Macaca mulatta: one gene and its partners. The protein of the gene in region 5 interacts with the protein of the main gene of each other region in a biochemical or structural test. Links are inferred from orthologs where the notes say so. Each region holds a gene or a part of one and is shown on either strand. Other genes may lie near its edges.

Region 1 (5,991 bases), about 1.7 Mb from region 5:
TGAGATGAGAAAACACTACTAAGAAAAAGGGATTGAATGCTTTTATTTGTTTAGGCGATTTTGCCAAAATACCTTCAAGCCAAGGAAGGAATCACCAGTTTGCATATTGCTATTTTTGCTGTGGTCTCCCCAAGTTGTCTTCTGATCCCTGACGGGTTCTCTCTCTGGTATAAAACAGCTGAATGAATGACAAAAATATTGGCAAGCTCTGCGGCTTGTTTTTCATGCCTAGCCTGTTGGTACCTCCGAATGAGTTTGTGAGTTTTTCTAAGTAAACCTAAAGGGGTTTATTTGTCAGACCTAGAATCTCTTGTGAACAGTTCGCTAAAGCTTTGGTGAAGACTCACATGTAGAAGGATATAGCTGTTTGATTGCCGGCTTTTGTTCAGCAGAAACAAGCAAATAGAGAATCTTTGAAGGGCCTCTCTGGTGTCAGTAGGAAATCTTGATTTTTTTAGCTACGGTTGGTGTGCACTAAGACATCTTCAGAAGTTGTTATGATTCTGTGAGTCCAGAGGACAGAGCTTGTAGAGGCATTAGTATTGTAGGACTAATTGTGGATCCTGGGTGCCCTGTTAAAGTAACCCTTGTCATCATTTATGCTAAAGATGATACCCTTCTGGCAGTTTGCCACAGTACAATTCAGATGCATCTGCTTTTAACCCTTTTCCGTTGTCACTGGAAGTCTGACAGTGCGCTGCATAAACACCTTGAGTACCACAGCATTCCGTAATACCAATTTCTAGAAGCAGTGTCTTTCTAATAGTGGTGTGGCCTGTGCTTGTTAATCATCTGGCTACTGAGTTACTATATTGGATTAAAATATATAAAGAGAGAGCACACCAAATCTATGCAGATTCCTTTTTCCTAGTATGTCCTGATAAGGTCAGTTTCCTTTTCTCTCTCTCATTTTTACCTTATTTGCTATAACAAAGCTTGTTGATTTTAAAGACTTATGGGTACTGTGCTATCTTTTTAGGTAGGTTAAATGAGTATTCATAAAGCAAATGTTATTTGTCTAGATTATGCACATATTGAAATTCTGTATTATGATGACCGGTTTGGTTAAGTACTTTTTGTGGAACCAGTTAGAGTTAATATCTAAAAAAGGAAGAAAATGAAAATTTCTTGGTCGAAGATAATTTGTTTGGACACAAGCAGGAAAAGTTTATTATTAGCAAAATCATGTAGGCAGTAGAAAGGTGGGTTCTTCTGAAGATAAACAGTGAGTTGTGTTTGCATACTGTATACTACTCATAGCAAATTAAGGAAGACACATTTTTCTTTCGTCACCATTATTATTTGATCAGAAAGGTAATTCTGCATTCATTGCTTTTGGAAAATGCACTGTTAATTTAGAGCACAACTTACCTTAGGACCAAGTTCACATTCTACTTCAATATTTCTGTTACAACTTTAATATGAGAATGTATATATTTGTGTGCATGTGCCTGTAGTTCTGTACCCAGTCTGCCTTGGAAGCACAGTGAATCTCTTGTGATTATTTATTTTCATAGCTAATTTTTCCTCCCCCCACCAAGCTGTATTTCTGAAGACTGTTGGTTTTCCATCCCTCTTTCTTCATCTTTTTGATAGGAACCATGCTGCCAGTTTTCTGTGTGGTGGAACATTATGAAAACGCCATTGAATATGATTGCAAGGAGGAGCATGCAGAATTTGTGCTGGTGAGAAAGGATATGCTTTTCAACCAGCTGATCGAAATGGCATTGCTGTCTCTAGGTTATTCACATAGCTCTGCTGCCCAGGCCAAAGGTAAATAATGTGTACGTGGGGTTGGAAAAATTGCTTGGCATTCTTTGTTTACCTTGCAGAGAAAGCACTGAATATTTTTATTCAAAGAACTGTAGCCTGTGTATTACATTGGTTCCTTTTAGGCTGTGGCTTTAAAAAATTGGCTTAATTCAGTTTAGTTTAGTTAACACACATTTTGCTCATGTGGAATGTCGAGGTAGATTTTTTTTTTTAAATTACTTCAGCTGAATCATTAGTATGCTTATTGACCTTAATAATCTGCTCCACTGAGGACCCACAAGGAAGTGAGGAGCGTATTTGAGCAGATGGACTGTTGAGAGTCAATTTGCATTTATGACTGAATATCTAGTTCTGTTTCTTTTATTCTGTTTCTGATGGTTTTATGGGCTGTAAAGTATTTTTCAATGCTGATTCCCACTGCAATAGAGAATCTTATCTAAATCGTAAAGCCATTTAGAACTGGTTCAGCTATGTCTTATTAGAACTTCCTGTAAGTTAGGAAAATGTGGCCTTATGCATAGGTTTTATTGATGGGGTTTTATTTCCAAAATAATAAACAACCCTACAGTCATTTACATAATTTTACAATTTGGAAAGCTAAGCTGTGAATATTTTCATTGACCTGCCTTTTAGAGGGAAGGGAATCATTCAGACAGAAATAACGGTATTGCTTGTGGTAGGGGTAGTAGGAAAGAACACCCTTCTACTAGATATATTATTTGAGGGTAAAATATTTAGTGACATATCCTCTTTATCTGAAATAGGGCTAATCCAGGTTGGAAAGTGGAATCCAGTTCCACTGTCTTACGTGACAGATGCCCCTGATGCTACAGTAGCAGATATGCTTCAAGATGTGTATCATGTGGTCACATTGAAAATTCAGTTACACAGGTGAGTCAAGACAGCAAATCTAGGGTGAAACCTTCTTCTTACCTGATCTTTTGAAATGAAGCATCTCTCTCTGGTCAACCTTCAATTTTTTTTTTTACTCCGTGTTTCAGAAAGGTTAATACAGATCGATTCGATTTTGTTACCCTATCCTTCTGCCTTTTTTCCTAACTTCAATGTATAATTTAAAAGCAACCCCCCCAAACACACACACAAAATGTGTGGGTTTGTGCAGGTTATCAAAAGAGAAGACTTTTTACGTTTAGTCAATTAAATAATGCATTACAAGAAGGCATTTTACATAAAGTTTACTTAAGAAAAAAATATTTTTGCATATCATGAACAGTGCCATCTGTGTACATTTTGTGAAAGACTGTCTTATTCACTATTACCACAATCTTATTTATTTATTTTTTTATGATTTTAATTCGTATGTACAGAGTAATGAAAGGAAATCGGTTAATACGTTAAAGCTTTTCACGATGGCTCAGGAGAAAGCAGTACACCTTAAATTGTCTTCCCAAGCGCATCAGAGCAGGAAGGTAGAAGTAACATGAAAAAATAGCCACCACAGGCAGCTGATGTATAATTCATGCATCGATACAGCAGATGTGTTGTATAAAGTAATTAACTAATCGGAACAATCAGGAGACCGAGAGCAATCTCCAGATGCATCTGTTTGATGCGCAAAATGAAATCTGTCTGTCTTAAAGGAATGTTCTGCAGCGGGATGCAATCTTGTAATAATCCCCTTTCTAATCTATGTCTCAAATAGTTGCCCCAAACTAGAAGACTTGCCTCCCGAACAATGGTCGCACACCACAGTGAGGAATGCTCTGAAGGACTTACTGAAAGATATGAATCAGAGTTCGTTGGCCAAGGAGTGCCCCCTTTCACAGGTACTTAGCATAGCATGTAATAAATAATAAGACATCATGGGCAACCCTGATTTGAGGTTTGATGGAGCTCCCTGGTTTAAAGCAACTGGTATCTGAAGCAAGAATCTGCCAAAAATGTAAAGTGACTTGACCACTGGTGACCTTTTAAAATATGCCTGATTTGTTGTGAACAGAGCCTATACGCTTTTTCTCCCTTGGGGAAAAGAGCCAAAGGACTGTTTACAGGAAAAACAGTTCAGTGGAAGACTCCGCTGGCTAATTTTTAGATTTGTCTTCTGAGTGCTATGAGCATGATGGCTACATTCTCCTGAATGCCCTTATTGAAGAAAGAGTCAAGGTGGTACTAATCCCACAAAGCTTTGGTGAGAGGGAATGGCAGTGGCAGTGTGAATGCGTAAAACTTCACCGTGCTATCTGAATAAAACAACAGTACAATTCTTGGATATTCATTACCAAAAAATTAAAAGTATTTTAGTACAAATAATTATGAAAATAATTACCCTTAACTAAAGGTTGAATAGTGGTTAATTCATTAGGATTTTGTGACCAGTTTTGTGGCTTTGGTTTACTACTTTTCTGTTTTTTTTTTTCAGTGGAATTTTCTTTTTTCCCTCTGAGATACCTGTCATACCATCAGGGATATTTGAAATGAAATAAAGATTTTTAAATTATTTTCCTTGATTTCTTTGTTTAGAATAAATTTGGTGGAGGGCAGCTAAAACTCTAGATAGAGACTGCCTACCTGCTTATAGACAGAAAGTCAAACATCATTTTTGATGAAACTCAGCTGATTTCAAATAAAAAAAAAAAAGGATGCCATGAATCTACTCTTAAAGGGCTGCTTAAAATGGGTTTGGGTACTGAGGGGATGACTGTAACACATGTAAATATATAATATGTTACAGTCATCCCCTCAGTACCCAAACCCATTTTAAGGCCATTCCATGATACAGTATTATTAAAATGTTGGTCCAACTAGATTTTTACCAAATTTTTAATGTTTTCTTTTAATTTGAGTTTTAATTCTGAATATTAGTCTCAGCCATTTGAACTTGAACTGTATGACGCTGCTGTAAACATTTCTGCAATTGAGAGATCTCAAAGTGTATTTCTGCTATATTCTGAGTAGCAGATATTCTCAAAATGTATTTCTAATATGAGGCTCATGAAGATTATTGGGTACCTTTGAAGGGAATCTTGTAGGCTTTGTGCTTCTGTTTCATAGAAACTCCATGCATTTCAGATTTGCTAAGTTACATTCCAACATTTTTACTTTGATATTTGCTACAAATTTTAGGAATGAAGCAAATGAATTAAGTTTATATTTAATAGCTTTCTATATTCTTCTACAATAAGCTATAGCCACAGTTTATATATTCTCTGTATTGCTAAGTGTCCATTTCTTGCAATTCAGAGAAAACTCTTTTTTGTCATTTCAGTTACACCTTCAGCTGATCTCCTATCTTCCCTCTCTCACCCTTGGAATAGAGAGGATAGGAATTTATAACCATCAAATAAAAATAATTTAAACTAATTAAACACAAATCAATAGGATGATAGAATAAAGGGGTGACTCTTACTTCTGGGACTTTGTTTTGCAGACAACTCCAGATAACATGTTACATGGTTGCTAACATTTGAAAATTTGAGATGATCTAGAAATAAACTTGTTAAAAACTCAGTTAAAACATAATATAAACACCCAGTACTGGAATCGCATGTGTCTTTATGTTACTAAATGTCCCATTGATCGTGGAAGCATATTCAGACGAAGACTTAAGGCATTTACTATGAGCTGAAGAAGAGGATGTCGGTAGAGATATTTATTGATACAGTCAGTGAGAACTAATTGTTAAATGACATCAACATTCAGCCAATAAACTCCACCTCGCTATAACTTATAAATAGAATTGTGAATTTACTTAATGTTATCATAGAAAATGAATTGCATACAGACAATTATAACATTAAGTAGAATGACAAAATGTAATTCAGGACTTGGTTTTGGAGTCATACATTGATGAATTTCTGTAGAGAGAGGTTTGCAGATACATGGCCTCCTGTGGCTGGATACCTCACTGTAATCATTAAGTGATGGAACTAGGCTACAATTTCAACATCAATTATAATTACAGTATTCTTTTCTTTAAAAAAACTTCTAAAAATTATGCATAGTTTAGCAGTGAAAGCAAATATTTGAAATTAATTTAATATTTAACAGTATGAAAAAATGTAAATTGTTCTCTAAATGAGGGAGTTATTTTATATTTTGCTGAACATCTTCTCTTTTTCTATGAATCTGATACTCCAGTCAGAATGTTTTCAATATAAACTGTATTCTTTGTGCTTCTTTATTATGTTTTTCTGTCTAGAGTTATTAAGATGAGAGATGCAAGTTCCCTAAAGCCTATGTCCAAAGTATATGCCGAGT
Region 2 (6,674 bases), on a different chromosome or scaffold from region 5:
CATGGACTGTTTCTTCCAACTTGTTTTAAAACTGTATCCTAACTTTGTATTTCATGACACAGGGTTTCCTGGGATGCCGGTCAGCTCTGGCTGCCTGCTTGTATTTTGCCCGGGAGGGACTGAGAGACTGACAAGAACTTCTGTGCACATGAGTGGCGGTGTTAACTGTGGCCTTCCCTATAGGGTAGTTGGGCAGCCACAAATGTCAGAATGTCTGGGTGTTTCCCCTTGGCATGGTTGGCTCCCCCAGGAAAGACCCTTCTAGTCTCCTGGCTGCTTGCATTCTGAAATCCCAGAAGGGGGCTTGTGGGTCTCAGCATCCAGTATCCATGTGTGCATTTAATCGCCTGATCCTATTACCGTACCTCTGTCCTTAATTGTGCCTGGTGTCCACCCACCCCAGACGCTGCCTTTTACTTTTTTCAGGTCATAAATATCCAGCCTTTTGTCAGAACAAGGAAGGGGCACTTATCAGGCTGCATGAAATTGGGGTGCACATATGGGCATCTGAGTGTTCCTCAAGCAGACGTTCTGCCAACCTTTCACCCCGGTTTACTCTCACATTCAAAGGGACATAGTGCCACCCATTAGTGAACCTTCTGGGGGATTCCATGGAGTATATTCTTAGCTTTCCTTCCTAGCTACTATCTCAGGGTTTCATTTTCTTGAATCTGCTAAGTATTTTAGCTTCAAAAACTGTGTTGCTGTTACTTCCTCTCTTGTTCTCCCTGTCTTTGTGGATTTCTGCCTTCTAACAAATGCTCCAGAAGGAAGTTAAAGTCAACACATACTAACCATCCACCAACTTTACCCAGAAACTCAACCACCCTTTCAGCCTTTAGTCTCTATACTCCCCAGACACAGCTGCTCTGCTTTTCTGTTGCTTCCATTTGAAATGAGGCGGCCCAGCCCTCACATATACATAGGCCATCTCTGTCAAAATTTTACTTAGCAACGAAAACATGGACTCTTAGCTAAGAGATTTTCTCTGGGGAAGAGCTGTGTCTGTGCGGAAGACGCTTCCATGTAGGTTTGGGATAAAGTCAGTGAACACCATGACAATCATCAAACGCTTGAGTGGATTTTTGAGAAACCGGCCAGGGGGCTCAGTTTTCTATCCAGAATGCCACAGAATACAGTCAAAATTCTTTGGCATCCACATTCTTGGGAAACTCTTGGAGGGGGTGCATCAGTGCCGAGGACCCTTGGCCATGCAGGGCATCCCCTCACCCAGGGCAGGCTTGTTTTGTTCATGGCTGTAGTAGCCCAATACCTAGAATAGTGCACACTCTAGGAGGCCTACCACTGTGTATGCTGGCTGGGGTGACCCGTGGAGAGACGTGGCACCTTGAAGATTGGGGAGAATTCTGCTGGCTGGAAAGCGGCCAGGAGGGTATGGGTGGCTGATAAGCTGGTGTAGGACCACTCCTTCCTTAAGAAGTGACTGACTGTGACATGTGGTGGGAATGGAGGAACATTCCGAATCATTAGTTGGTCAGGACACACGTCTCTTAAATGTCATCAACACAATCTGCCTAGAAGAAACATGATTACTTTCTGCCAAGCACAGACCCTCCTAGAGGGACCAGACCCAGCCCAGCACCTTTATAGTCAGCCCAGAGGGGAGCAACTCAATCAGCGAGACGGCATTTTTGGGTTTTAGTTACACATACTGAGGGTGCTCAAACATCCATGCAATTTGCTGTTCACCATAACACGCAACCCGGAATGGCTGTTTCGGTCCCCCGTCGGTTACCTGAAAAGCGGTCTTACTGGGCCCCAACCCCAAATCAATTTGGTGAGAACCTGAACTCCGCTATTAACCTTAATTCTGAGAGAAGAATGACACCCCCCTCCCACTGCTGGGGTCCACTGAGGGTGAGTGCCCGGGCTCCTTCATTCTCCAGGCTCCTCTCAGAACACAGCGAGGGTGGCGGACTCCTTCCAATGTCCATTAAGCACAATGCACCGGGGAGAGGCAGTAGGCGGTTTGCTGAGCCCGGTTCCGAGGCGGTGGGAAGTTATTCACCGGCGTCTCCGAGGTCAGCCCAGGCCTGGAGAATGGCTGGGGCCGCGGGCTGGAGTAGGGGTTACCGGTGAGAGTCAAGGGCAAGTTGGCCAGGCCCGGGCCGGGAGGCGCGGGCAGGACGCAGCCGAGCATTTCCTCCGGGAGGCCCAGACAGCGGGCGGGTGGGGCGCGGTGGGCGGGGTCCTCGCAGTTGGTGGCTTTTGAAGCCCCCCCGACCGCGGTGGGAGAGGGGCAGCCTAGAAGAGTTGGCAGCGGGCCTGAGGCGGGAGGGGGAGGAAGGGGCCCCGCGTTCCCTCAGCAGCGGCGCCGGCCGCCCTGGCACGTAGTTCGCTTCTGGAGGCACAGGCCGCGGTGGGCGCGCCACCCGGGCTGCCAGGCTCACCGCCAGCCGAGGCCAGACCTGTTCGGGCTGACCCGAGCTCAAGGGTAGCGCGGCCGCACACCGGACCCCGGCCGCCAGGAACGAGCCCGAGGAGTCTGTCCCTCCCGCAGGAACTGCCCCGCCCGGACTCCCGGAGCTCTGCAGGGCAAGGGCGTGGAGCGGGCGAGCGGCCTGAGGCTCTAGGCGCGGCCACCCGGCAAACTGGCGGCTGAGGGCGCGGCGCGAGTGCTTTCCGCCCCCAGGCAGCCCCGCGCCCGGCCGAGCAGACACGCCTCCCGGCCGGCGCCCATCGCGGGAGGAACAAATGGCGCCCTCCAGAAAGCACTCCGCTCCACGCCGGGGGCGAAGGCTGGCCACCACACAAAAGCTCCGGCAGGGAAGTGCCCGCTGTGTCCCCACTGCGGGGGGTACGGGCAGCAGCTCCGCGCCGCGACTACCAGGCCCACCACCCCCGGACGTCATGCGTCAGCGCGCCCCGCTCCAGTTTCCGCCCCTCCTCCTACCGGCCCAGGGGACACGCCCACTGGCGCGCGCAGGCCCCGGGACCGGGCACGCCCCTCTAACGGCCCGGATTGGCCTGGCCGTGCACTCACGGACGAATGGCGTCCGTCCTGGCAATCGGCCACGCCCCCTTCCCCAGGCGCGGGCACGCGACCCCTCCGTTCCTCCGGTGCGCGCTCTGGGCTCCCCGCCCCCTCCGCGCGCGCAGCTCCCCGCGGCCGCCGCCGCCTGTAACCTGCGCCGCCAGGATGTGGCTGGGGGCTGACGTCGGGTCCAGATGTGGCCCCGGCCCCGCCCACCCCCGGGGCCGGGCCGCCCACACCGAGCCGCGGCGCGCTCGGCAGCTGTCCCGCCTGCCACAATGCGCGGCGAAACTGCGGCCGCGACTTGGCGTGGTGGTCCCTAACGTCGCCGCTCGGCATCCTTAGAAGCGGCCGCCCCTGACGCCGCGCGGGGACCCCAGTCGTCCGCGCCCCCCATGCGCTCGCTCTTCGGTGCCCGGCCGGGCCGGCGCCTCGCAGACGCGGAGCCGCGCGGGTGACGGCAGAGGCGGCTGCGCGCCCAGCCCAGCCCAGCCCGAGGAGAGGGCGCGCCGCGCCCCCGCCCCCCGCCCGCTCTCCCGAGGCCGTGGGTGCGGATGCGCGGCTGACGCCTCGCAGCAAGAGCACCGCCGCCGGCCCCAGCCCGCAGCATGGCAGCCGCCGCCTATGTGGACCACTTCGCCGCCGAGTGCCTCGTGTCCATGTCGAGCCGCGCGGTCGTGCACGGGCCGCGTGAGGGGCCGGAGTCCCGGCCCGAGGGCGCGGCCGCGGCCGCCACCCCCACGCTGCCCCGCGTCGAGGAGCGCCGCGACGGTAAGGACAGCGCCTCGCTCTTCGTGGTGGCGCGGATCCTAGCGGACCTCAACCAGCAAGCACCGGCGCCCGTCCCGGCGGAGCGCAGGGAGGGCGCCGCGGCCCGGAAGGCGAGGACCCCCTGCCGCCTGCCGCCGCCCGCCCCCGAGCCCGCCTCCCCCGGCGGCGAAGGCGCGGCGGCCGCGCCCCCCAGCCCGGCGTGGAGCGAGCCGGAGCCCGAGGCGGGGCTGGAACCCGAGCGGGAGCCGGGACCCGCGGGGAGCGGCGAGCCCGGCCTCAGACAAAGGGGCCGGCGGGGCCGAAGTCGCGCCGACCTCGAGTCCCCGCAGAGGAAGCACAAGTGCCACTACGCGGGCTGCGAGAAAGTTTACGGGAAATCCTCGCACCTCAAGGCGCACCTGAGAACTCACACAGGTCAGTGGGGCGGCGCGGGCGCCCGGATTGCTCGGTCGGGGTCAGTGCGAGCTGCCCGACCACGCCCCCGGAGCCGCCGGCGGGGCGCGAGGTAGGGGCCGGGCGGGCCGGGACGCCCGGGGCTTCGCCCCTTCCCCCGCCGCTCCAACCCGCTGCTGGCCCCGCGCGCCGTGCGAGGCGGGTCCTGGCTCTTGGAGCCGGCGCCCGCCAGGCGACCGCGCCCCCGCCGGGCACGCCCCCTCCCCGGGCGCGCTCGGGTGGGGCCGCGGGGGCGGATGTAGTCATCTGGGTCGGGGGCGGGGACCCCGCCCGGCCGGGGGGCGGTGTGGGCAGGTGCGGACAGCCTGGGTGTGGACCGCAGGCGGCACTCGTGACGGTGGGGCGCCCGGTAGCGGGGGCAGGGGACGCTCTCCGGGGTCCCTCCTAGTCTCCTCCCCCGCCGCCCGGGCGCGCGCTCAGGAGGGGAGGGGCCGGCCCTGGCGCGCGGCGGGCGAAGTTCACGTAGGGACAAGGCTTCCTTCGCCACTCGGCATATTCTCCGCTCTCTTCTTCCTGTAATTTTTCCAGCGCTCTAAGGTTTAATTTGTCGTAACCAGAGTCAGCGGCGGCGCTGGGCGATGCGGGGGGCGGTCCCGGCTCCCGCTCCCCGCCTGCGGCTCTTTGTGGGAACCCCCGCCCAGTCGGCCGGCGGGGGCGCGCCCGGCCCTAGGGCTCTTCGGCCTCGCAGCTCTCTCCGGAAACGAATGCCCTGGCTGCTGCCTGTCCTCCGTGCTGACCTCTCGCCTGCCCACCTCTCACCTGCCCTGGGCCGGTGCGCGGCGGGCGGCACCTGCGCCAGGGCGGGCGCTGAGCCTCCAGCCTGGGGATCACCGCCCGCCCCCGCCAGCCCAGCGGCAGCAGTTCCCACGCGCGGCCCGATACTTTGTAGTTGATTCATCTGTGGCGGTTCCCTCCCCCGCTTTTTGTTTCGTTTTTAACACAAAGATGAAAACGTGTTAATGGACGGCAATCCTCCCTCATTTTTGTGTGAAAATTTATATGCTTCCCCTGAGCTCACGTGAGTTCTTCTGTGACACTCACCTCTTCGGGGGGCAGGCTCAAAACCCATGTACTGAATATTGTTGCCTTGTGACCAAGGGTGGTAGTGTCTCATTTGTAAAATAGTTCACGTAGTGATTAAAAGGCATTAAAAGAACCTGCAGCCTTGGAGGCCGTAGAGCTGAAGGCCCCCTTTTTTCCGGTACATTTGGAACTGAAAGGGCCCGAGGTCTGCAGGTGAGGCATTCGAATTTCGGACTAACTTTCACTCCGGAGGCTGTTGTGGCCGCCCCAAACCGCGTGGCAAGTGATGGGCTAGAGAGAGAGAGCAGGGCCATTTCTAGGCATTCGGGGTCAGTTAAGGGTATGGGGGCTCAGGTTGGGGGTGGGGATCAGTATGGACTCAGAGTTCAGCTCGGGACGCGGCTGCAGGGTGGGTGTGGCCCTGGGGGAGGGGCCAGGCAGGGCTAGGCTGGGCTCGGCTCCAGGTGGACCCTGAGTATCGGGTCGGGGCAGCGCTTGGGGCGTGGCTGGGGTTGAGATCCGCTTTGGGGGAAGATGCGCGTGTTGAGCGGGATACTTAATGTTTGGGAAATTTTTCTACAGCCCCTGTCAGGGTGGTCTGCCACTCGGCAGCACTGGTAGCTGGGAATTGAGGAGGGGGGTGGCCGAGGGGAGGGGCTCGCCGTGGTGGGCGGGGCCGGCTCGTCAGGGCCTCGGCCCTGGGATGTCTTCCTGGTGGGTTCACCTCCGGCTTCAGGCTCTGGCCCCGCGCGAGCCCCTTGACTAGAATATTGGTGCAGGGGCTCTGGAGACTCGGGCCTCCCGCCGTAGGTGGGGCCAGTTTCCTCGGAGCGCCTGGAAACCGAAGGCAGGCAAAAGAGAATAGAACCAACCCTTTGAGCGTTTGCAGTGTGCTAGTGTCCATTCTTGAAGCAGAGAAACTGTTCCACCCTTCGGGTGTGCAGACATCAGAAGTGCTACCTCCAGGGTGGAAACCGGCCTCCATGTCGGGAGTGCACAGGGCTCCGGCAGCGGGGTGGCGGGGAGTTGGGAAGAATGCAGACTTTCAGGCCCCTGATGCCGACCCGTTCTAGCCTGCAGCTGGGAATGCATGTTACCGGTACCCCAGGTGACCCATTATGAGGGTTGCACTGCCCAGAAACCTGCCTCTGGAGGGAGTGTGGTTCAGCATCTGGCGGAGGGCACCCCTGGGAAGCCCATTTCCAGTTCCTGCCCAGATGGGCAGAGCGTAAGTAACTGGTGTTCCTCCAAGGAGAAGAGGAGCGTCTTGCAGAAGGAAGAAACCCAGGCAGCCCTCAGGGATGACTGAGAAGGCAGGCCACGAGGGGATAGCTTTGCTGCAGCCATGGGCTCTGAGGTGTCTGTGGTTTGTGGGCCTCTAGCAGCATTGTGGGGTCTCTGCAGTCAGTGACGGAGGTCATGCCGAACCCTG
Region 3 (5,991 bases), on a different chromosome or scaffold from region 5:
ACCACTGTACCCAGCTGTTTTTCTTGTTTTCACTTCCTTAGATATCCAGTTACTGCCGCACAGGTGGGGCTTAGCTCAAGGAAAACATGGTTCACTGAGTATGCAGGGATATGCTCACAAAAGGAAATGTCAGAGGATGCTGAGGCCATTTCTGCACATACCACATGGCTACTGGGCCTTGGGTCTCCCAGTCTCGGGGAGACTATTTGTTGGGGGACATACAGCACGGAGATGAATCATGAGTGACCCCAAGAAAATTCTAACACTTGGCCTACATGTTGTAAACAGTTTGCTAATTAAAACTTCAACTTGAATTGAAGATTGGGAAGAGCTTGCTTCAACAGCAAATTTTCATACCTAGTTACCACATGAAAGACAAATTTCCTCAGAAGAAACCTGCTTAGTGTATCCGGTTACATATTTGGATAGACTAAGTAGGTTTAGTATATTTGCACAGGGTGTATTAACTCAGTCCCTGGGTGTTTTGATATACAATTAAAAGGTAATATATTAACAGCTAGTAATTGTCCTCTGACTTTCCAATTCCAGACGCCCTGGGGAGTTCACTTTTCAAACACTCTGCAGAGACAGAGTCCACACGATGGCTTGAACAGCCAGGAAGCACAGAACTCGGGAAGCCCACTGGCCTCTTCCGAGCTTCCCTGCTTTACCGTACAGTACAATGCAAGTAGATCGAAATTCCGAAGTTAGGCTGTGTGTAGGCCTAATGAATCACCTGCCTTCTTCAAAAGAAAAGTTTCAGGTGTCAATCCTATCCTCATGGCACAAGGATTTCATGAAACACACTTGGCTAAGGTGGCTCTTGACCCACATGGCTGCACGTAAGGGGATCTCTCACTTACTTCCCTGGGCCAGGATGGTCAAGCCCACCTAGGACTGTACCTTCCACAACTTGCTCATTTTAGGGCCATGTGAAGACACTGCTGGTGCCGATGTGGCTGCAGAGATCCCGGACGAACGGGACCACCACGTGGCAGGAACTACTAAGACGGACATTTCCTCGCATTGCCACATCCCTGAAAGAGGACGTGCCTTTCAATCCAGTATGTGTCCTGGTTTCATTGGAAGCAATTTTTCTAAGAGATACACAAAATAACAGTGCATCTTAGCATCATTGGCATCTGGCGTTCGATGGAATACAGTGGATGCATGTGAGCAACGTGTGCTGAAAAGGCAACATATTTCTTCATTAACTGTGATTCGGAAATTAAATCTGCATCCTAATGGAAAACCCCTCACTCCCACCCCACATATCCTACTTATTTATGCATCTATTTAGTCAACAAACGCTGATGCATCTATTCAGTTATCAAATACATATTAGTGGTCTGTTCCGGGCCAGACACCGAGCTAGATGATGGGAAAACAGTAGTAAATACGATTCAGTCACACTTGAAATTGTAGCAAATTCTCACACATTGGTGAGAAAGGTATACTTTTCTGACTAAATAACATGAATCAAAATGTAGGCCTTAAAAATACTAAGTCGGCCAGGCTCACACTTGTAATTCCAACATTTTGGGAAGCCAAGGCAAGAGGATCACTTGAGGCCAGGAGTTTGAGACCAGCCTGGGCAACAGAGTAAGACCTCACCTCTATAAAAAAATTTTTTTAATTATCCATGCTTAGTGGCACACACCTGTAGACCCGACTACTAGAGCGAGGCTGAGGCGAGAGGATCACCTGAGCCCGGGATGTTGGGGCTGCAGTGAACCATGATCGCGTCACTGCACTCCAGCCTGGGTGACAGAGTAAGACCTTGTCTCAAAAAAAAAAAAAAAAAAGATCTGTGAGAAATGATATGGCTAACAACTAGGTTTGTTCAATTGTAAAAATATATATATATATTTTAAGAGGTAATATAGGAGAAACATATACACTTAAAAAATACTTAAAAGACATTCAAAAACCACATGTGAATTGTATATGGGTCTTAAGTAAACAAACCACATGAAAATTATAACATGTATGAAACAACTGAAACTCTGAACACTGGCTGGATATTCACTGATACTGAGAAATTACCGTGCACTATTTCAGGTACAATAATGACATCATGGTATTTTTACAGAGCACTTATCTTTTAAATATATATACTGAACTATTATGGAAGAAATGCTACGAGATTTGGGATTTGCTTCAAACATTATATTAAGCTGAACTATAAAGAATTGTTTTTGGGCCGAGTGCTGTGGCTCCCGCCTGTATTCCCAACACTTTGGGAGGCTGAGGTGGGAGAATCGTTTAAGATCAGAGGTTCAAGACCAGCCTGGCCAACATGGTGAAACCCCATCTCTACTAAAAATACAAAAACTAGCCAGGCGTGGTGGCGTGCATTTGTAGTCCCAGCTACTCGGGAGGCTGAGGCAGGAGAATCGTTTGAACCCAGGAGGCAGAGGTTGCAGTGAGCCAAGATCGCACCACTGCACTCCAGCCTGTGCCAACAGAGTAAAACTCTGTCTCAATTTAAAAAGAAAATAAATAAATAAATACACAAATTATTTTTGCAAGTCAAAAATGGTTGAAGGGCTGCAATTTCATGTTAGAAGTCAGGAAATGGGAAGAGCTATTGATGAAGCAAAACTGGCCGGGAGCTGATTAAGGTTAAAATTAACCTGAATGATGGCCTATGGAGTAAATTTTACTCATTTGTCTCCTTTCTATGTGCATAAAATCTTTCCACAATGAAAAGTTAAAGCACAATCAGGCCTTTAATACAGTGCAATATTTAAATTTCGTTAAAAATAAAAAATAGTGAAAGTGAAACTGAAAGTATCAGTGCAGAAATACGCTGCCTAAATTTCTTCATCTGCAAACGGAGGCCAGCGAGCTAGACAATCTCTCTGAGATCCCTGGGTCTGTGGCTGCAGTGTCTGCCCTCTGCTCAGCCACTGAGGTTTGTCCCCAGTTTTGCGGGGCATATTTGGCTCTTCTCTCACTGTTTACCAAGGGCCACCTCATCTGTGCACAGAGACCCTCAGACCACAGGGGACTGCAGACCACACAGCCTCGTGAGAACTCACACACACACGCACATCCCACGGGAAACCCTTGTGGGGTGCGAGCGATGCAGGGGGCAGAAGGCAGTCATTGAGAGCTGTGCTGATGGAGCACTGAAGCTAACCACTGGTCCCCCACCGAAGGGCCCGTGACGGACGTCTGTAACATACAGTTCACACATTTTATAGAGGTAGAGAACATTCAATACATACTAACGTATATTTAATAGCCTGAAAATATGCTTAATAGTATGAGCCACAAGCTGTTGTGGAGCTTAGCTGGCACAGAATGACCGCTGGCAACGGCCGTGGTGGCCAGATGGAGGCCGCAGCCTGCCGAGCGCAGTGAGAATCTGTGACTTCATTCATAGATTTCCCAGGGAAACGGGATGAGGCAGGGCCCTGTGTACCTATGTCTGCAAGTGGATACATGCCGAAGAGCAAACATGTAAAGCGCAGAAGACACAAGCAAAGGAAGAAAGATGACACGCTCCGCAGAGGTCCTGTGACTCGCCTTTACGAGGCAGAGTATGAGTCATTAATAGGAACCCAACTTTGGCTTTCTCTCTGAAACACCCAAGATTACCTTGATGTGCTTAACTTTGTCTTCTTTTTCTGTCTTTGGTTTCTTTCCTGTGGCAACAAAAATGTAGTTTTGTATTAATTCATGAAGGGCCTCCAGAGAAACATTTCCCTCAAATTAAATTCTTTCTGAAACTCTCAATGAACTTGTTGCTTTACTCTGTACATGATCAAAATTCCACATGTATCTTTTACTGCCTTTGGTGAATTGAGAGTCTTGTTTCCAAGCCAGGTAGGGGCGGAATGATCCCCCACAGCATGAACAGGCTATTCTACCTGCGAAGTGACTGCGGATGTAGAAATGAAGAGGTCACGAAGGCACGATGACATAAATTGAGTGATCTTGTTTTAGTCTGTAAATGCCTTTACCTTTCTTAGAAGGCCGCTCCGATAGGGGCAGCATTCGGTAGACCCTGAAGGCATTGTTTCCTTTCTTTATGCTTTTATCCTTGACTTCTTCAATATCAGGCAAGGAATTCATGGCACATCTGAAATTCGCCTTCCATGTTTTGGGATCAGGTTTATCTACTCCTGGTTGATGCTTTCCTAACAAAAGAGATAAAGATTAAGAAAGAGATAGAAAACATTAGATACAGAGGAAGAAATTTCTGGAAACACAGTATTGCTGGTCAGGCAGTATGAGGAAACCTTTTCACTCCAGGCTATACCTCCAGTGACCAATCGTCCTGGTGTACCTGGGGGTGAGAAGGTTCTTGGGATGTGGGAATTTTGTTTTTAAAACTTGAACAGTTCCAGACAAACTGGGACAAGCTGGTCACCCTGGTTCTACTGAACAGCTTGAGGAAACTATAAATGCTGGAAGAATGGAGCACCAGCGTAAGAAAAATACAGAAGACCGAGAGGCTGCAAAGTCAACAGGCAGAGGGAACCTGAGTGCCTCTTTTTCATCTGACGCTCCAATAGAGTCCATTCCTGTAAATAGCTCCCTATGTAAATGTTGTAATAAATAAATGTATTTCTGACTACCTTTTCTAGGGTAGATAAATTTGATCAAAGTTTATGGCATCAGAACAAATGAGTTTCTATTCCCCTGGTAACACCTAGGGAACTTCTTAGAATACTACATTTATAGGAAATTGAAGGACTAAGAGTCTACGAGATGAGGGGAGCATTACTTCTGACGGCTGTAGTTTGCACCCCATGTGTCCTGGATGTGCCTAGCAACAAGTCACAGGTTTTTCACAGCCATCTTCATGAGGTCGTAAGCCAGGATATTTTATGTGTAATAAAAACAAAACTAAGCAAGAGTGCCCGCCTCTATAAACGCCGCAGGGAGTTTAGGTACCTGTATGGATTGCCCAGTTTCTAAAGAGTGGTGCGTCTTTTTCCACGTCCCACCCATGTCTAGCCGCGTGCATCCAGGGGATCTGAAAAATCTTCTTTTCCTGAAGGGAAAAAAAAAAAAGGTAAAGAACAACCGCAGTCACGGGTTTTGACCCACCACTGCAAAAGGTTGTGAAGGTCTAGCCAGCAAGATTCCCCACCAAGCATCACTGAATGTGTTGACTGTTGACAAGAAAATCTACCGTAAACCAAACCCACTTCCCCCGCTGGATCCCAAATCCTGACAGCCTACCCCAAGTGACAGTCAGTCCCATGAAGTCTTGCAGAGCAGGAATGTTTTCCAAGGTCAAAGGTGATGATTTGGGATATGCCAGTGTGTTCCATTATTTGTGCCACTTTTCTGTTTTTTAATTTTCTTTTTGGAGACAGAGTCTCGCTCTGTTGCCCAGGCTGGAGTGCAATGGCACGATATTGGCTCACTACAACCGCCATCTCCCGGGTTCAAGAGATTCTCCCACCTCAGCCTCCTGAGTAGCTAGGATTACTGGCATGCGCCACTACACCTGGTCACTTTTTGTATTTTTAGTAGAGACAGGGTTTCACCACGCTGGCCAGACTGGTCTCGAACTCCTGACCTCAAGTGATCTGCCTGCCTCAGGCTTCCAAACTGCTGGGATTACAGGTGTGAGCCACCACACCCGACCCTGTGCCTCTTTTTATAAAACCACAGAAAAATGGCCACCTACTGAAACTTCTAATGCTTATTCTTATAATTTATTCTCATCATTTGGTAAATAGTAACTCCAGCTATCTTCAGTAAATTAAAAATGAGACAACTTTCCAAAACCCTTGATGCTGCTACAGAGAAGTCGGGTGTATCTGGGCCACTGTCGCAGAAACCGAGTATCTCCATTTGCCTATGCATCCAACAGAAATAGAAAGTAATGCTGGAATCCCCGCGGGTCCACCGCCTGCAGGAAATAGCAAGGAGTGCAAACAAAGAGGTAGCGGTTATGAGATGACACATTTTCTGGAGAAACATCTCTCAATACAATCCTTATATCAGACTATCTCTACATCTCTC
Region 4 (5,609 bases), on a different chromosome or scaffold from region 5:
AGTGTTTCAAGGAATTTTTCAGTAATTTTTGTTTTTGAATATTGACCGACACATCCACCCTTTCTGCCTCGTTTATCCCACCCCCGATTCTGGCTGTCGTCGGGCATCACGTTCCTGTAGCCTACAGACCCTGTTAGAAACGTGGCTCACCAGTGAACGATTCCCTCCGCTTTTGTCTGAAAATGTGTTTTGCCTTTTTTTTTTTTTTTTTTGGTAGAAGATCGAGTCTCGCTCTGTCGCTCAGGCTGGAGTATGGTGGCGCGATCTCGGATCACTGCAATCTCCACCTCCTGGGTTCACGCCATTCTCCTGCCTCAGCCTCCGGAGTAGCTGGGACTACAGGCGCCCGCCACCTCGCCCGGCTGACTTTTTGTATTTTTAGTAGAGACGGGGTTTCACCATGGTGGCCAGGCTGGTCTCGAACTCCTGACCTCGTGATCCGCCCGCCTCAGCCTCCCAGAGTGCTGGGATTACAGGCGTGAGCCACCACAGCCTGTTCTTTAAAAAAAGTTTGATTTTTTTTTGTTTTTTTTTTTTTTTGAGACGGAGTCTCGCTGTGTCGCCCAGGCTGGAATGCAGTGGCCGGATCTCAGCTCATTGCAAGCTCCGCCTCCCGGGTTTTTATGCCATTCTCCTGCCTCAGCCTCCCGAGTAGCTGGGACTACAGGCGCCCACCACCTCGCCCGGCTAGTTTTTTGTATTTTTTAGTAGAGACGGGGTTTCACCGTGTTAGCCAGGATGGTCTCGAACTCCTGACCTCGTGATCCGCCCGTCTCGGCCTCCCAAAGTGCTGGGATTACAGGCTTGAGCCACCGCGCCCGGCCTAAAAAAAGTTTTTTTAATTCTTTTCTCTCTGCTTCTGTTTGGATGCCATCTGCTGACTTTGAGCCCCAGCCTTCAAGCTCCCGATCCTTTTCTTGCTGTTAGCTTCGTCCAGGGAGTTCCATTTCAGAGGGATGTTTTTGTTCTGGAATTTCTATGTGGTTCTTTATAGAGTTGCCATTCGTCTTCCAGAATCCTCCATTTTTCTGCTGTTTACATCAACACTTGCTGTCATCTCTGAGCATGTTTATAGTAGTTATTTAGGAGCTTTTGCTGGCTGATTCCAGCCTTGGTCATCTGCAGGTCTGTCCGCTTCTAGTGTTTTATTCTAATTAGAAGCCACATCTTCCTACCTCTTCACCTGCATCATCATAATTTCTTATCATAAGCCAGACATCGTATGGAAAAGAATGGCAGAGACTAAAGTGAAGAACCATCTCGCCCCAGCAGCCACTGCTGTCCTGTGTCAGGTGTGGCCGGCGCTGGCCTGCGCCTCTAGCTGGTTTTCGCCACCGGCAGCCGGACTCCCTGGGGCTTTCTGTTGAGCAGAGTGGGAAACAGCGTCTTTTCTGCTTCCTGCGCTGTGGGAGGTGCCTTTCTCTGTGTCTGCCTATCTGCCTTCCTTCCTCCCTCTCCTGCCCGTTCAGTGGGATCCCTGGCAGGGGGTGCTGCCAGACGGGGGCTGTTCCTGCATCTGGGGAGCTGCCCGGGTACTCCGGCCGTGACTGACCTCGGAACTGCTTCTCCCACCTCGGCCTGCCGAGCCCTCCTCCCCGGACCGGTTGCCTCCTGCAGCAGCCTCGTCCCTGGGGATGAAAGGAGCCGCCATATTCCTTCTGGTAGAACAGGCGCCTGCCTTTCTAGGATGTAGTGTATTTAGACGGTCCTCAGCTCTTCTGACTGGCCTCCCAGCCTCCCCCAGGCTGTTCCCAAGTGACTGGGAGTCCCCTGGGCGTTTGGGCCACATCTGGCTGCCCTGTCTGCCTGGCGGTCTGGTCTCCTTGGCCCTCAGGCCGCCGCCACCGTGGGCCCCTCACACGTGTTGTTCCAGCTCTTCGGCTCCCTTCCCATCCCCTCATGTCTCCAACAAGCTTGGTCTTCTCAGGGATGCCTGCCCTGGCTGCCACCTCTGTAACTGCACCCGCTTCCCTCCTGCCCCAGCGCCCAGCCGGCTTCCTTCCTGTGCAGCGGTTCCCTCTGAGGCGATGCAGGAGACACCACATTGGCGGGCTTGGGTTCTTGTGTCCTTCGCAGCCGCGTCTGGGCTTCTGAGGTCCTGTGTCCTTCGCAGCCGCGTCTGGGCTTCCGGGGTCCTGTGTCCCTTGCAGCCGTGCTGTTGGCTCACGGTGGGCGCATGCACCCTGCCGACCCTTCCCCGGGGAGGAAATGGTGGCTCTGGCTCCGTGGCTCCTGTGCTGGGGCCCACGCCAGCCTTGGACTGCTGGGGTCGGGGCAGGCACGTCTGCCCGGGATGGCTTTCTCTGCCACTCCACTGGAAGGGGACAGGACATGAGCCCAGCGGGGCCTCCCTGGTCTGGAAGGTTCCCTCCCGCCCCCTTTGCCATCTCCACCTAGTCGTGGCTGGAACTGAGATGCCAGAGACATCGATGGGTGGACCGGAAAGCAGGCCAGTGGAGGGACCTGGGCACATAGGGCGTGTGTGGGGTGAGTGGAGACCCGCTGACGGTCCGTTTGACACTGAGTGGTTCGTGTCACGTCCTGTGGACAGGCTGCGGGGGGGCGTGGCTGGCAGCTGGTGTGGGCCGAGGGGCTCGTGCACCCTTTCCCCCCCGTGCACAGCCTCCACCTTGGCAGTGGGCGCATTGGGAGCAGACACCTCGTGTGGAGATACCTCGCGCCGGCACCTTGGCTTGACCACAGCTGGTGTCCTTGGCAGATGGTCAAACTGAGGCACAGGGGCCACTCCGATCCTGGCTGTCAGGGCTAGCCTCCCAGCCACGGGTGAGCGAGGGTTTCACACTGTGTCCTGACACCACCAGGTCGCGTGGGGCAGGCGGTGGCGCTGCGGGCCAAGGCCTTCGGCTTCAACGTGCTCTTCTACGACCCTTACCTGTCGGACGGCGTGGAGCGGGCGCTGGGGCTGCAGCGGGTCAGCACCCTGCAGGACCTGCTTTTCCACAGCGACTGCGTGAGCCTGCACTGCGGCCTCAACGAGCACAACCACCACCTCATCAACGACTTCACCGTCAAGCAGGTGCGTGGAGCCGGGGCACAGGGCTCTCCTTCTGCGGGGCAGGCACAGGTGGGGGTGTCAGGAAGGTCCCTCCCAGCAACCACCTGCACCTGGGCGAGACCCTGCCTTCAGTGAGCCACATGGCGGCGGTGCCGGCCCTGCTGGGGGAAGCCCTGTCTGCCCAGATGGCGTTTTCCATGTTCTGAGTTCTACCCAGGATGCCTGAAATACTCTGGATAAGACAGAACCACATACCTTTGAATCCTAAATTCCCCTGAAGCTCTTGCCACTGTCACAGTGGAGATGATGCAGCTACCTGGGGGCATTGGGCCTGCCCTTCTGACTTCCATCCTGTGCTGCCAGGTTCAGGTTTCACATCTGCAGCTGGAGAGGGCTGTGCTCAGGTCGGCCTCTGCCTCAGCTCAGCGCAGAGCGCAGCCTCAGCCCGTGTTTCCCTCGGGTGGGCGGAGCTCGGGTGGGCGGAGCTCGGGACGGCTGCCTCCCGCTGGCTGTTGGCCTTTCAGGGAGTCGTTATGTGTGCACGGTGATGTGTGTGTATGTGGGCAAGTGTGTGTGGGTGCCTGTGTCTGCCCGTTTGAGCTTGTGTGTGCGTGTGTGTACACGTGTCAGAGGCCACCCACCCACTCAAGCTGCCCCAGCAGCCTGTAGCCACAGGGAGGATGAAACCAGGTGCCCACCTCCCCTTCCTTTGTTCACAGAGCCAGTGGGTTTGGAGCCTTCTAGTGGACAGGGTGTGGCACGTGGATGCTGGTCAGGGCCCTGCCATCCCTGAGGACCTTGGGTGTGAGGCTGCAATGGGCAGCAACTCACCAAAGAAAAGCCACCGTGACCCACCCGGCTGCCACCCAAGTGCAATGGCTGGGTGGGCTTCCTCGGAATGAAATGGGGGGGTTGCAGGAAAGCCCTGGCCACGAAGCTGACAGGGAGCCACTGCAAGGGCCTTTTGCAAAAGTGCATGAAAAGTGAGCCTGTCCGGAGGCCCCACTGGGGTTGGAGTCAAACACCACACCTCAGAGTAGACGGCCCTGGGCTTTGTCATCCCAGGGAGTCCCACCTCGTGGGCCGAGGCCCTGTTGGGGGAGGCTGGGCTGGAGGGGACCCAGAGAAGGGGTACCACAGGGGGACCAAGCCAGGAGCCCCCACCCAGTCCTCAGCTCAGGGCTTGGGCAGGAACGTAGAGCTCTCTAGGAGGTGTGGGGCCATGCAGGTCTGCCAGGGCCGAACCTCAGCCAGCTTGCCAGGGCCGCGGCGCAGCACGCCTGAGGTCTTAAGTCCTAGCACCCTGGTGAGCCCAGGGTGGGCCTGGGCTGGGAAGGGGCCAGGGAGCTGGGCCTCCTCAGCAGCGTGCGTGACCACCTTGCTTCCCTGGCCGCTCGCCCTGCACGGAACCCTGACTGGGCCTGGCCTGTCCTCATGTCTTCCAGATGAGACAAGGGGCCTTCCTGGTGAACACAGCCCGGGGCGGCCTGGTGGACGAGAAGGCGCTGGCCCAGGCCCTGAAGGAGGGCCGGATCCGCGGCGCGGCCCTGGACGTGCACGAGTCGGAACCCTTCAGGTGCCCTCACAGCCAGTGTCACCCCCTGCTCTTCCCTGCCCACCATCCTGCCGGCCTTGACCTGCAGATGGCGCCTCCGCCAGGCCGGGCACTTGCTTGTACTCAGGCCTCTCGCTGGCCGGCATGGGGGAGTTTGCTGCTCACTGTGGGGTGAGGACGGAGCCACGGGCTCCAGGCCTGCCTCGCCTCGGTCCTGTGAGGGTTGATCGTCCTCCTCAGCCCCTCTTCGGGCAGGGCTCCCCACCAGCCAGGAGAGAGTGAGGCCCCAGTGTCCGTGAGTGGTCCCCACAGGCCCTGGCCATGGAGTCATGGCGTCATGTCCAGACCTGCAATCCCTGCAGCGCCCTGGGACCCCAGGCAGCCCTGGGTTGGATGGTCAGCCACAGGAGGAGACACCCCGCAGGGGCAGTACCAGCCTGCAGCTCCTGGGGCTACAGGACCTTCGGCCGGGAGGGGCCAGGCCAGCATGTCCCCCCATCAGGGCTCCTCCCCCAAGGGGCTTGGAGATTAAATCCTTTGGGCTCCCACACCCGCTGCTGTCAGGAGCCCCTGGTGTGTCTGATGGTCCTGGGGCTGAGCTCTTGTGCTCAGCCCGCCTGCCAAGCGGAGCGGGGCCGTGGGGTCTGTGGGTCCCAGGCAGGGTCCCCCACAGGGGTTCCAGTGCCCAGCCACTTCCCCCCCGCACCCAGCCACAGCACTCGGGCTGCACTGACCATGCTGTGCTGTTCCCAGCTTTAGCCAGGGCCCCCTGAAGGATGCACCCAATCTTATCTGCACCCCCCACGCTGCGTGGTACAGCGAGCAGGCTTCCATCGAGATGCGAGAGGAGGCGGCACGGGAGATCCGCAGAGCCATCACAGGTGGGCCTGGGGGACTCTTCCTGCCAGCCCCAGGCCTGGCTCATGGGCTCGCATCCGCCCAGCAGCCAGGCCCATGTTCTGCCAGCTCAGGGCCCATGGTGCTCTCACTGCACCCCCAGCAGGGACCTCTAAGGCCAAAGTCAGGTTGAGCCCTGGC
Region 5 (5,991 bases):
GGTGGTTTCTTATACTTTAAAAAGTTGAGGCATTTTCAGTGTGAGCATTCTGAATATCTGTTACATATCAAAAACAATACTTCCAACTCAGCCATTTGCGGGGGTCTTTTTCCTTCATGCAGATTATCACTGGCAACTGTTTTTAATGACTATTCATGACCATTTTATTTATGCTGATAGAAAACATCAAGTTAAATACACTTTTAAAAGTTTGTCCTTTACAAAAATCAGTTTATAAATTTGCATCATAAAAAATTAGTGTTGAGACCATCAAGATGGCCTTCGTTTATATGGTTGTATATTAGTTGGTTTTCCCAGAGCTGGGATGGCAGATGTCTCACTTTTCTATGTAGTGTAATCAGGAAATAAATCCAAGCACTAAACTGAAATCCCAAGATAGATTAATAAGGTTGCATGATGGATTTTAGGGGGTTATGACCCTGGACCCATATACTAATGTGGGTGTTAAAATACTGACAGCAAACCCTGGTGGGAATTTAATTCACCTCAGACAATAAACATAATCTGGAGATATAAAAAGGAAAATGTTCATTTACATATTATCAGTGTGGCTGTGTGTATCATAGAAAAGAAAAAAATATTTATTAGAACAAGGATTCACCAGATGGATACATTTATAGACCACACATCTTTTCCTATTAAAGCATGTTGACTCAATCTCATGTGTTTTCAAGTTTATGCCTTTGTGGCCAGGGAAATTATCTTTTGGAACTTATGGCCTGCATAAGCAAAGTCAAATATGATATCACACATTTGTGTAGAGAAAATAATTATTAAAATAGTGGTTATGTACTAACAAGTTTGTTGCAGGTACACAGAATTATCAAAAACCTAGATGCTTATTTAAAAAGTTTGCATTATTTAGAATTTCTTCCTTAGGAATCAAAGCAGTTGCTTTCCTGGAACTGCATTTTTCAGAACTGCTCAAAGCACCTCATCTAGATGAGTGTTTTAAAAAATATATATAAAAAGTCTATAATGAGACTTCAAACATCACATATTTCACCTCTTACAGGCTTTTTTAAAATCATGTATCCCTTCCTTAAAGTCCTTCGGAATAAAATAAAAATAAACTCTCACATTCCATTAGAAAAAAATGGAAACATTCACGGTCTGAAAATTTTATGAATTTCCCCAAATTTTGCTACTATGTGCAATTTCCTCACACACAGGTTTTGAGGAAACCCCTAATCATCTATCATGGAATAGTCAGCTAATGGACATGCCATAGAAAATTTACCTTAATAGTAGTAAATAGATTAAAATCTATTCCATAAAATAAAAATGTCCTATGACTTCAATTTAAATACATATCTGAAAAGCTAAAAGGAGGTTTTTTGTTTTTCAAAAGTGCTAATTATTACATTTACAAGTCTCTTCAATACATCATGTCCAATTCTTTGTAAAAAACTAAACCACCTTGCTTTAGGCACACTGCTTGATGAGTTTCTAAGAAGCAGAGGGGAAAAAAATCACTTGTCAATTAATCCAGCTTCCTTAATTTTACTGAAGAAGAATTTCTCCAGGATATTGGCACATTTGTAGTATTCACTCTCAGGGGGGTTGTACTCTTTGCAATTGGTAAAGACTCGCTGTAAGTCTGCCATGAATAATTTCTTAGACACGTAGTACCTATTCTTGAGGCGTTCACTCATGGTTTTCAGATCTGCACAGGAAAAAAAAATATTAGCAATCTTTGACTCATTTTAAACACCAGCTGACAAAACTGGGACTGGGAAAGAAATCTATGTTGTTGGTTTGATTACATTTTTATCATCCCAATGCTTTTATTTAAGAGAAATTCTTATGATCAAGGAAAACAGTTCTTAAATCTTATGTTCATTCTCTTGTGGGTTCTTTAAAAATGTCAAATCACAGCCATTTTAGCATTAAAGGGACCATTATTAGTCATCTGGTTCAATCCCCTATTCAGCACAAGGAAGCTAAGTAGATTAGCAACAATAAGTATGATGAACTGACTACTGTTAGCTATTCATTCAGAATTACACAGAAGAAGCTCTATCTATATGGAGCAGAGCAGGTGGATCGTTGGTATTGAATCATTTAATTACTTAAAACTATCAGACTGCGTTTGTTTCACTAAACTCACAGTTGTTTTGGTGTCATATAGATAAAGTAGAGAAACTAATAATAAATACATCTGTGAACACACCAGTGACCTTGCATGTAAAATGATTCGAATGAATTTTGCTTCAAGCTCCATCAATGAAATAAGAATAACAAACTTCATTTAATAATCTATTTTCTAAAGCAAGTAAGCCTTGTGAGACTATTGCAAAGAATTTCCCAATATAGCTGCTTGCTTTAAATGGCAGAATTTTACAGGTGAAAACAGTACTCCAGCTAAACTGATAAAACTAAAGAGGGGTTTCCTCAGTCCTCACTGTCAGGACTAATTTAAAGAATTATATGCAGATTAGAATAGATGCTAACATTTGTCTATTTATGGTTCCCTGGTTGTCTTGAAGTCTGGCTTTATTGTTAAAAGCTATAATTGTATTAACTATGTGTGGAAAAATAAGTCAAATGCGGGGGGGAAACACTTTTGACTACCCAAATCCCAAATTCTAAGCATGTTACAAAATTTCCAGGGGAAAGAAACCTATAACCAAATACACTGGGATCATCATTTAATAAGGTAAGTAAATTTATGTACAATATCCCCAAATGGGAAGAAATTCATTTGCATCAATATCCTAAATCCACCACAAGAGCATCAAAGAAGAAATGGAAAAAAGCTGCTTCTGCCTATCTCTTGATTAAAGCCTATCTTGGTTAGAGTGTATGTCATCACATCTATAAATTCAACTTTCAACTTTTCTTTCTTCTCTAACTAAAACAATTTGGAGAGAGAGAAAAATCTAAAAGCGTTAAGAAACACAAAGACTCATCAAATCCACACTAAATGTCCCATCCACGTGTGACTGAACAGATCAAAATGTTCTCTCATTTAAGGAAGAAAAAAACAATGAAATTGACCCTAAGTAAAAGTAGATGTTTACATTCCTTTCACTTTTCCACCTAAATGTCTACCACTTAAGATGTGCTGCCCAATATAATATTTATAACGTTTTAAAAGGAAGAAACATGTACCCCCCAAAAAGGTGGAGGGGGAGCAAAAGGATGACACAACACAAAGAAGTTTGTCCAAAAGCTTTCGAACTACTTTTAGGAGGTGGGTAAGAAAAGATGGAGAGAGCCTAAAATGCAACAGAAACAAAGCAAGAATTATGGAGGTGTCTGGACTTTTCTGAATAACTATAAACAATTCTGAATACTTCCTTTCTATTCTATAGCTATAGATAGCATTTTTCTTCCTCTGGCCTTCTTAGAGTTTTTTCAATTGACAAAATGAGGTGGGTTAAAAAAGGTGACTAAATATTGGTGGTACCAAATATAGAGACACCATTAAATTATTGTTTTCATGTCCCTTCCCCTTAATTTGGGAATTCTGGATAAGCATGAAAATCCTGCCTAGCCATCCATGTGTAACAAGAAGTCATGCTTGGGCTGGACTATACAGGTGATGTCCAGTGTGTGACTCCCTAAATAAAACAGGTTAGATCCCATCCATATGAGAGAAAACAGGTTAGATCCCATCCATATGAGAGAAAATCTCATCCATTTTTAGAATATGGGGAAAGAAAAGTAATGTTATTAGAAAAATCAAATAAGGAAACAATGGGAAAATGTAAAATTATTGATTTGTCATTCTTGTCTTCAAATACAAGATAATCTTGGGGACAAAACTAAATATTTTACTCAGCATCTAAACAATACCAAGAAAAAAAAAAATACTGCCCTACTGAAGAACACCATTTATAGCTTTAATTAAGTTTGTCCAGCACACATTTCAGCCAATCATTGGCCTTGCTCAATTAGGTCAGTTTTCCCCTCGTGAGACTCAGCTATGCACACAGGTTGTATCCAACTGGAGAAGTTCACAACCTTTACAGGTTGGACCAAGCAAAAACACTTTCAGAAAGCAGGCTGTAAGTAGGCTATGATCAATGGGATCCGCTAGACCTATCACTGCACGTCTTCAGAGTGCACGTGGACAGGGGCTGAAAGGGCCCCAAACTGACACAACTTCCCATGAGGGTTTCACAAAAGAAGCTGAGACAGTCCAGAGAAGAGGATACAAAAATCAGTTAATTTATGGTTAGAAATGGACACAAAGAGTTTTAACATATTTTGCACATAGTGGACAATACTGATTCCCAAATCAGCCTTCCATTCAGAATTCTAGACTGACTCAACCCTACCCTTTATTTTCTTGTACTGAAATAAATAGTGGTAAGGCAGAGAGAAGAGGGAAAGAAAAGCATATAGATGTGTGTCCACTTTAAGGGGTGTAGGCTACTGAAATCATTACTATAAATATATAAAATATTCATGTGAAACATTTAAATGCTATAGAAAACACCTATAAATAACTCAGTTATCAAGGAGCTAATGCATCCCTTTCACTCTTCCTTTTCACATTTTTAATACTTCCATAATTTTTTTTTTTTTTTTTTTTTTGAGACAGGGTCTCCCTCCAGTACTCAGGCTGAAGTGCAGTAGTGCAATCACAGCTCACTGCAGCCTCAAACTCCTGGGCTCAAGCAATCCTCCAACCTCAGCCTCCCAAGTAGCTGGGGCCTCAGGCGTGTGCCACTACACCTAATTTTTTACTTTTTGTAGAGACAGGGTCTCACTACCTTACCCAGGCTGGACTTCCACAATTCTTAGCACCTGGAATAGATTACAAGTAGAAAAGAGACAGAAGACTCTGGCTCTCTCCAAAAATATGGCCACGTAGCTGATAAAAAGAAAACATTTCAGCTAGCTGTCTGTCACCCCACAATGCCAAATTAGTTTAATTTGAGCGTTCTCAATTGAATTAATCATTCATTTTAGCATAGTGTGGGCAAAGCACCAAACTGCACAATTCTACATTTCTGAAGACATCCTTTTTTGTTTGATTTTGGATATGAGACAAAGCTTAAAATAAAGAGTATATACAGTGACACCAACAGTACCCATCAAGGGCATGGAAAATCCAGAATTGTGGTAAGTAGAATTTCTCCCTCTGAAAGGACAGCAGTCAAGTAGTTTAACTTCTTTCATTATTATCTTGAATAATTATGAAAAGGAATACCTATTTACGACAGACTCAAAGCATATCAAGAGGATAAGCTGATGTTTTCTATTTGCACCAAACAGAATATAAGCAAAGTTATATCTAAAGTACCAGCTTTCATACCTAGTGCTATCTGCAGTTACCCTGGATTTTCTGTGTCTAGTGTCGTTAAGCTCGTGTGGGCTCTAAACGACAGCTGCAGAATGTCTCTAATGAACACAGCCACCCACTTCTCTGCCATCACTGCCCCTCCACGGTGCGTGGAATCCCACCACCCGTCATACACTTCCTACCCTAAACAGAGGAGTACAAATCAACCTCAGCAACCATTTGTCCCCCACACCGCCATCCAGTTTTAAATCTATACTTAGAAAATGTTAATGGCATTACCCATGGGGAACCTTATAACTTCATAATATCCCGGAGCTTCTGTTCTCTTCACAGGTTCCATGAAGGGCCAAGCGCTTTGATGGCTCTTGGGTAAAGAAAAAAGTAAGGTATCTAATATGGAAATTCCATGTGGGAAATCATTTCAAAATATTTGCATGAGGTGAATAAAGAGGACACCCACCTTCACCTGCTGGAGGATGCTCTTGAGCGTGCTGTAAAGCTGGTCAGGGTCTCTGGGCTCTTTACTTGAAAGGAAAAAGGGAAACAAGGAGCAATGATTAGATTTATACCCTATTGCCAGCTGATTACTATTCAGCTCATTCTTACAAAAACCTAAAATTGGAACCATTCCAGAATGTTTTAGGAAACTCAAAACCCACCAACTGTTGTGTGAGTGATTACAATTAGTTTGCCCATTTTCTTTAAGTTGCTGG

The links.
Region 1: of the proteins of KAT2B (region 5) and SATB1, one has a biochemical effect on the other in vitro, tested with the Homo sapiens proteins (2 studies listed by BioGRID, with this or other methods). The link is inferred for Macaca mulatta from reciprocal best matches to the Homo sapiens genes KAT2B and SATB1.
Region 2: of the proteins of KAT2B (region 5) and KLF13, one has a biochemical effect on the other in vitro, tested with the Homo sapiens proteins (2 studies listed by BioGRID, with this or other methods). The link is inferred for Macaca mulatta from reciprocal best matches to the Homo sapiens genes KAT2B and KLF13.
Region 3: the proteins of KAT2B (region 5) and IRF2 form a complex in vitro, tested with the Homo sapiens proteins (2 studies listed by BioGRID, with this or other methods). The link is inferred for Macaca mulatta from reciprocal best matches to the Homo sapiens genes KAT2B and IRF2.
Region 4: the proteins of KAT2B (region 5) and CTBP1 form a complex in vitro, tested with the Homo sapiens proteins (2 studies listed by BioGRID, with this or other methods). The link is inferred for Macaca mulatta from reciprocal best matches to the Homo sapiens genes KAT2B and CTBP1.

The regions. Positions count from the first base shown.
Region 1 is NC_133407.1:30,109,911-30,115,901, forward strand, and holds part of SATB1 (DNA-binding protein SATB1), read left to right. Parts: intron 1-1,596; coding exon 1,597-1,773; intron 1,774-2,537; coding exon 2,538-2,664; intron 2,665-3,436; coding exon 3,437-3,560; intron 3,561-5,991. UniProt on the Homo sapiens protein: Crucial silencing factor contributing to the initiation of X inactivation mediated by Xist RNA that occurs during embryogenesis and in lymphoma.
Region 2 is NC_133412.1:7,845,670-7,852,343, reverse strand, and holds the start of KLF13 (Krueppel-like factor 13), read left to right. Parts: upstream 1-3,087; 5' UTR 3,088-3,603; coding exon 3,604-4,180; intron 4,181-6,674. UniProt on the Homo sapiens protein: Transcription factor that activates expression from GC-rich minimal promoter regions, including genes in the cells of the erythroid lineage. Represses transcription by binding to the BTE site, a GC-rich DNA element, in competition with the activator SP1.
Region 3 is NC_133410.1:192,856,891-192,862,881, forward strand, and holds part of IRF2 (interferon regulatory factor 2), read right to left. Parts: intron 5,879-5,991; exon of another isoform or gene 5,200-5,878; intron 5,009-5,199; coding exon 4,909-5,008; intron 4,149-4,908; coding exon 3,972-4,148; intron 3,654-3,971; coding exon 3,607-3,653; intron 1-3,606. UniProt on the Homo sapiens protein: Specifically binds to the upstream regulatory region of type I IFN and IFN-inducible MHC class I genes (the interferon consensus sequence (ICS)) and represses those genes. Also acts as an activator for several genes including H4 and IL7.
Region 4 is NC_133410.1:1,288,887-1,294,495, reverse strand, and holds part of CTBP1 (C-terminal-binding protein 1), read left to right. Parts: intron 1-2,822; coding exon 2,823-3,037; intron 3,038-4,461; coding exon 4,462-4,592; intron 4,593-5,324; coding exon 5,325-5,452; exon of another isoform or gene 5,453-5,527; intron 5,528-5,609. UniProt on the Homo sapiens protein: Corepressor targeting diverse transcription regulators such as GLIS2 or BCL6. Has dehydrogenase activity. Involved in controlling the equilibrium between tubular and stacked structures in the Golgi complex.
Region 5 is NC_133407.1:28,409,289-28,415,279, forward strand, and holds part of KAT2B (histone acetyltransferase KAT2B), read right to left. Parts: intron 5,803-5,991; coding exon 5,739-5,802; intron 5,643-5,738; coding exon 5,558-5,642; intron 1,688-5,557; coding exon 1,494-1,687; 3' UTR 1-1,493. UniProt on the Homo sapiens protein: Functions as a histone acetyltransferase (HAT) to promote transcriptional activation. Has significant histone acetyltransferase activity with core histones (H3 and H4), and also with nucleosome core particles.